2 linked regions of the Xenopus tropicalis genome follow. The protein of the gene in region 2 interacts with the protein of the main gene of each other region in a biochemical or structural test. Links are inferred from orthologs where the notes say so. Each region holds a gene or a part of one and is shown on either strand. Other genes may lie near its edges.

Evidence for each region.
Region 1: the proteins of abl1 (region 2) and erbb4 form a complex in vitro, tested with the Homo sapiens proteins (2 studies listed by BioGRID and IntAct, with this or other methods). The link is inferred for Xenopus tropicalis from reciprocal best matches to the Homo sapiens genes ABL1 and ERBB4.

The regions. Positions count from the first base shown.
Region 1 is NC_030685.2:57,168,585-57,172,240, reverse strand, and holds part of erbb4 (receptor tyrosine-protein kinase erbB-4), read left to right. Parts: intron 1-1,970; coding exon 1,971-2,170; intron 2,171-3,656. UniProt on the Homo sapiens protein: Tyrosine-protein kinase that plays an essential role as cell surface receptor for neuregulins and EGF family members and regulates development of the heart, the central nervous system and the mammary gland, gene transcription, cell proliferation, differentiation, migration and apoptosis.
Region 2 is NC_030684.2:12,809,756-12,813,411, reverse strand, and holds part of abl1 (tyrosine-protein kinase ABL1), read left to right. Parts: intron 1-2,342; coding exon 2,343-2,638; intron 2,639-3,656. UniProt on the Homo sapiens protein: Non-receptor tyrosine-protein kinase that plays a role in many key processes linked to cell growth and survival such as cytoskeleton remodeling in response to extracellular stimuli, cell motility and adhesion, receptor endocytosis, autophagy, DNA damage response and apoptosis.

The DNA of each region.
Region 1 (3,656 bases), on a different chromosome or scaffold from region 2:
TAAAAGTAGCAGAACACGGAAAAATGTATGTCTGAAAAGAAACGTCATCATTTCCCAAATAAAGGAATTCCTGAGAGCTCTCCATAGCAGTTTGCAAAATACTGGGTTTAAGGATTACAGGTTTTAGCCGTCAGACAAAAGGCAGCAATTATGGTATCAGAGTTTCCAGTCCCCCGCACAGCAGACAGAAGAAAGCTGGTGCCCACAGAGGTTATGGCATACTGTATACCGGTGCTGGGAATAATTATTTGTCTCTATGAGCTGAGGCTGAGATGGAAGGGCAGGGGGCACATTTAATGATGGCCTCAGCTGAGAAGTTATGAAACGTCCATGGCAGTAAACGAAGCAGCAGATTCAATGATACAATTCTATGCTTGTCAGGAGAAGTGACGGCAAAAGCAGTTTTTGACTTAAAGCGCCCGTAGGGCAGCACTCTCTGAAATAGCAGGCAGCCCCTTTAGTAGTTGATGCTTTTCAGGGTAATGGAAGGATGCAAAGTAATCTAAGCTAAAGGAAGGCTGTAAGCATCAACCCTCTCCATTTAAAAACTGAGGTTGAAGCACTGGATCAAACACTTGCCAGGTATCCACTTATCCTCTTATTAGTTACGGCTGCACCCCACAGCTCTTAGTAACCGAAGTTTGAAAATAAAGAAGCAACAACCAGAGGGTAATTATCCTATGTCTGTGAGCCATGTACATGCCAAAAGGTAATTCAGACATAGGAAATCTAAAAAAGCACCATCTAATCTCAGTATTATCTGTGTAATGTTATGTTAACATTGTGGCTAAAGGGAAGGAAAAGGAAAAACTAGAACAGACTGTAAGTTAATTACTTTATTGCTGTTCAGGGTGCCCTGGAGGACCGCAAGGAAGTGACGGAGACAGGACCATAACAGGGCTAGGGGAGCCAGGAAGGTGTTAAATTGCAAGGGGTTGTGGGAAATGTATTTCAAAAGGTGTTTGTCTGGAGGCTGTAGGAAGAGAGTGAAGGGTATAGAACAGGAGGAGTCAGTCACCATTTACTTTTGCAGCTCCCTTAGCTTATCGGGGGGTAATAATAATAGCAGGGAGAGTGTTGGCGTAAGTGGTGGCAGGAGTGGTTTAAGTCTGAGGCTAGCAATTTTGTGTATCAACCACTGTCAAAAGGGCAGGGTTGGCTGTGGCCTTTTCCACCCATAAATAGTGGTGCCTCTTTAAGTGTTTTAGTTTAAAATGGGTGCTGATTGTGGTGGTGGAAAGGGTCCAAGATGCTGCCCATATCATGTGGAATCTACCTGTAAAACTGGACCCTGTAGAGAGGGAAATTTCCTAGTCTGACGCCTTCAGCATAGATAGAGATCCCTGCAAACATTGATGTTCATCTGAGCCCTTTTGCAGCCTGCTAATCTACTGAGATCCAACTCACTACAGGTTACCAGATGGGCAAGACACAGAGATTCAGGAGTCCCAGGGAGTAGAAGTTGTAGTTGGTATGCAGCCAAAAGTCAGAGCCAGTGGCAAACCTCAGAGTCTGTTCTCAAGCCATTCCCACATACAGGCAAGGCTTAATAACAAGACAGAAGGAGAGTCTGTGCAGTGTTGAAAGGGGCTCTAGCATATTCTGTAGAAAAAGATATGCCGGCTTGGGCAAAGACTAGACTACACACACATGTGTGACTGGTGGTGAGCATATCCTGGCATAAATTAACAGGCATACCAGCAGAGATGCACGTTCTATACACCTGAGAGAGTGCCTTACCACGTGTATAATCTCAACAATGCACTTAGTCTCCTGCCAACTAAACAATGCTAAACAATAATTATATAATATGTAGATGTATATGTGAAAGTGCCTGATTTATTAACATTTGATACTTTTGTCCTGTACAAATTAAAAATGTATTTTTGAGTCCTGCTATTGTTCTTATGGCTTAGAGTCCAGCTCTTAGTATCAGGATGCTCTGCAATTCTGCATTTCTCTTTCCACAGTGGAATTTCCCTGCTGATTCTAAAGCAGCAGAGCCTCAACTCCCTACAGTTTCAGTCACTCAAAGAGATCAGTGCTGGGAATGTATATATCACTGATAACCGTAACCTGTGCTATTACCATACCGTCAACTGGACATCTCTCTTCCGGACATCCAACCAGAGAACCACTATCCGAGAGAACAAGAAGCCAGAAAACTGCAGTAAGTTCCATTATTCATTTGTTTGCTCTTCGGAAGCATTGTTTTGGTTGGTGAAAACTTTTTGTAGAAATATGTTTACGAAAAAACTACTTTTATGTCACTGGTGCAATGTTATTATTAGTCCCTGTTTCCTGGTGACAGGCCCTGTTTCAGTGTCTCTTTTTAGTGTCCCCAGCACAGTCCCCCAATTCAGTGTTAAAGCCACAGTTACATTAATTAATCCATATGTGGACATTGGCTGTACATGTTATCAGTAGCAGTTGCTCTGCCCTAGTCATTTGGTACTTGGCACACTTAACCAGGAAAATAGGGTAGCAATTATATTATTTCAGATGCATTCTTTTTTCTACTTACAAAACACTTAGGGGCTAGAGATGTAGCGAACCTCACAAAAAAAGTTAGCGAACCCGTTCGCGAACTTCTGCCAAAAAGTGCGAACTTTTGCGAACTTTGCGAACCCCATAGACTTCAATGGGAAGGCGAACTTTAAAACCTAGAAAAGCCATTTCTGGCCAGAAAACTGATTTTAAAGTTGTTTAAAGGGTGCCACGACCTGGACAGTGGCATGCAGGAGGGGGATTAAGGGCAAAAATGTCTCTGAAAAATACTTTGTTGACACAGCATTGCATTTTGTGCTGTAAAGGACAGAAATCACACTACATTTCTAAACTTGTGTAATAAACTGCTTTTACAAGGACTATTGGGTTATAGCAGATGATCAGCAGGACAGCTGCCCACAGCAGCTACATACAGAGCAGTAGAAAGTAGATTACTAGTCAGCAAAGCTACCTAAACTGTCCCTCAAACCCCTGCACAGCTCTCTCCCTATGCTAACTCATCAAGCACACACAGGCAGAATGTAAAATGGCTGCTGGGCTTCGGTTTATATATGGAAGGGAGTGGTCCGGGGGTGGTCCAGGAGGGAGAGCTGCCTGATTGGCTGCCATGTATCTGCTGGCTCTGGGGTGAGAGGTCAAAATTTGGCTCCAGCTAAGGCGAACCCAAAATTGCGAACTTCGCTAAAAGTTCGCGAACTTGCGAACTTGCGAACACCCGATTTTCGTGCGAATTAGTTCTCCGGCGAACAGTTCGCTACATCTCTATTAGGGGCAGATTTATCAAAATGTGAGTTTAGAACTTAATACATAGAAAATATAAAATACATATAAACTAACTCTAACTTTCACCCATTGAAAAATATGCTTCTTAAATTCCCATTGGAATGAATAGAATGTGGGTGAGTTTTTCACGTATTAAGCTCTCAACTCACATTTTAATAAATCTGCCCCATACATTACTCTAGTGTGGGCTGGTTCAGCTTTGTAGACAAACCTGAGGTTTCTACAGTTTTACAACATTCTGTAACTTCTCTCAGCATGGCCAAAGTGGTGGCATCAGGGTACAGGGACAAGAATTTACCAAGGGAGTAGCCTTTCCTTGTTCTGCTGCTATCACCCCCATCATGCAATCATAAAAACATATAAGG
Region 2 (3,656 bases):
TAGCCCTAATTTAAGGACAACTGTTGGCTCTTGTTAAGTAACATCCGCAGGATCTCCAGCCCTTGTTAAACCACATCCCCCTTATAAAGAAACTTCTTTCCTGTAGTACTGGGATTTGCAGCTTATCAGCGGCTGGAGGGCCGCTCTTTACTTGCCCTTTACTCAAGCTCCAAGTGCTATTTATAGTTTAGAGATGTCGCACGTTTGTGTGTCTGTATCCAAGCTCAGTGGGCAGCAGGAAGATCAGTAACGGATGTGTATAGATAAATAATCCTGGGCAGGCTGTTCCTAATGGAACCGTTACATGAAATGATGGCAGAACTATGCCAGTGTAGCTGAGAAGCCAAGGCAGATAATCTGTTCTGTCCATGTTTGTTTGTAATACAGTATATAATAGGGTTGGTATCAGGTAGCCACTGCCAGCATCCCTGTGCCAGATTGGAATGGAAGTTTCAGACACTGAGCCATCCTTAGTACTGACAGGTCCAGCTATTCATATAGATAGGGCAGTCCAACCTGTGGCCTCTCAGTAATGGCCACTATCCATTCGGGTTTGTGGGTTTCCTCCCAAACATACAGGCAGATTCATTGGCTCCTGATAAAACAGCCCCTAGTGTTGTGTGTGATAGGGACCTTAGATTGTAAGCTCCTCTGGGGCAGGGGCTGATGGGAATGTGATAGGGACCTTCGACTGTAAGCTTACTGGGGCAGGGACTGAAGGGAATGTGATAGGGACCTTAGATTGTAAGCTCACTGGGGCAGGGGCTGATGGGAATGTGATAGGGACCTTAGATTGTAAGCTCACTGGGGCAGGGACTGATGGGAATGTGATAGGGACCTTAGATTGTAAGCTCACTGGGGCAGGGACTGATGGGAATGTGATAGGGACCTTAGATTGTAAGCTTACTGAGGCAGGGACTGATGGGAATGTGATAGGGACCTTAGATTGTAAGCTCACTGGGGCAGGGACTGATGGGAATGTGATAGGGACCTTAGATTGTAAGCTCACTGGGGCAGGGGCTGATGGGAATGTGATAGGGACCTTCGACTGTAAGCTTACTGGGGCAGGGACTGAAGGGAATGTGATAGGGACCTTAGATTGTAAGCTCATTGGGGCAGGGGCTGATGGGAATGTGATAGGGACCTTAGATTGTAAGCTTACTGAGGCAGGGACTGATGGGAATGTGATAGGGACCTTAGATTGTAAGCTCTACTGGGGCAGGGGCTGATGGGAATGTGATAGGGACCTTAGATTGTAAGCTCTTCTGGGGCAGGGGCTGATGGGAATGTGATAGGGACCTTAGATTGTAAGCTCCACTGGGCAGGGGCTGATGGGAATGTGATAGGGACCTTAGATTGTAAGCTCACTGGGGCAGGGACTGATGGGAATGTGATAGGGACCTTAGATTGTAAGCTATTCTGGGGCAGGGGCTGATGGGAATGTGATAGGGACCTTAGATTGTAAGCTCCACTGGGCAGGGGCTGATGGGAATGTGATAGGGACCTTAGATTGTAAGCTCACTGAGGCAGGGACTGATGGGAATGGGATAGGGGCCTTAGATTGTAAGCTCACTGGGGCAGGGACTGATGGGAATGTGATAGGGACCTTAGATTGTAAGCTCCACTGGGCAGGGGCTGATGGGAATGTGATAGGGACCTTAGATTGTAAGCTCACTGGGGCAGGGACTGATGGGAATGTCATAGGGACCTTAGATTGTAAGCTCTTCTGGGGCAGGGGCTGATGGGAATGTGATAGGGACCTTAGATTGTAAGCTCCACTGGGCAGGGGCTGATGGGAATGTGATAGGGACCTTAGATTGTAAGCTCACTGAGGCAGGGACTGATGGGAATGGGATAGGGGCCTTAGATTGTAAGCTCACTGGGGCAGGGACTGATGGGAATGTGATAGGGACCTTAGATTGTAAGCTCACTGGGGCAGGGACTGATGGGAATGTGATAGGGACCTTAGATTGTAAGCTCACTGGGGCAGGGGCTGATGGGAATGTGATAGGGACCTTAGATTGTAAGCTCACTGGGGCAGGGACTGATGGGAATGGGATAGGGACCTTAGATTGTAAGCTCACTGGGGCAGGGGCTGATGGGAATGTGATAGGGACCTTAGATTGTAAGCTCACTGGGGCAGGGGCTGATGGGAATGTGATAGGGACCTTAGATTGTAAGCTCACTGGGGCAGGGGCTGATGGGAATGTGATAGGGACCTTAGATTGTAAGCTCACTGGGGCAGGGGCTGATGGGAATGATGGATAATCGCTGTAATGCACTGTGCTATAGCGCTATATAAATAGTGACTAATATCCAACATTTTCTCTTCACTTCGATAGGTGAGAAGCTGCGAGTGTTGGGCTACAATCACAATGGCGAGTGGTGTGAGGCCCAAACCAAAAATGGCCAAGGTTGGGTTCCCAGTAACTACATCACACCGGTGAACAGCCCCGAGAAACATTCCTGGTACCATGGGCCGGTGTCTCGCAACGCTGCTGAATATCTGCTCAGTAGTGGGATTAATGGCAGCTTCTTGGTGCGGGAAAGTGAGAGCAGCCCAGGCCAGAGGTCCATATCCTTACGATACGAGGGCAGAGTGTACCACTATAGGATCAATACTGCGTCTGATGGCAAGGTAAGGACTGGATAGGCTTTTGACTGCCCATATATATGAATATAGAAAAGGAATGTTCTGGGCACACAATAAGCTAAACCCACATACTGTACTGTCTAAAGGTGGCCATACACGCACCGATATTATCGTACGAAACCTCGTTTCGTACGATAATCGGTGCGTGTATGGCATGTCAGCGAGCCGACCGATATCGCAGGAAGCTGCTGAAATCGGTCGGCTCGCCGATCGGCCAAGTTAGAAAATTTTGATCGGGCGCCATAGAAGGCGCCTGACCAAAATTCTCCCTTCAGAGCTGAATCGGCAGAAGGAGGTAGAAATCCTATTGTTTCTACCTCCTTACCTGCCGATTCAGCCCTGAATGGTGTGTGGCGGATCTGACGATGTTTCGTGCGACCGACGGTCGTACGAAACATCGTGAGATCGCCACGTGTATGGCCAGCTTAAGGGAAACACTATGGCACCTCCCTCCCATATGTATAAATACAAATATACAGAGAAGGAATGTTCTGGGCACACAATAAGCTGTACCCCCATACTGTACTGTCTAAGGGAAACACTATGGCACCTCCCTCCCATATGTATAAATACAAATATACAGAGAAGGAATGCTCTAGGCACACAATAAGCTGTACCCTCATACTGTACTGTCTAAGGGAAATAATATGGCTCCTCCCTCCCATATGTATAAATACAAATATACAGAGAAGGAATGTTCTGGGCACACAATAAGCTGTACCCTCATACTGTACTGTCTAAGGGAAACACTATGGCACCTCCCTCCCATATGTATAAATACAAATATACAGAGAAGGAATGTTCTGGGCACACAATAAGCTGTACCCCCATACTGTACTGTCTAAGGGAAACACTATGGCACCTCCCTCCCATATGTATAAATACAAATATACAGAGAAGGAATGTTCTGGGCACACAATAAGCTGTACCCTCATACTGTACTGTCTAAGGGAAACACTATGGCACCTCCCTCCCATATGTATAAATACAAATATACAGAGAA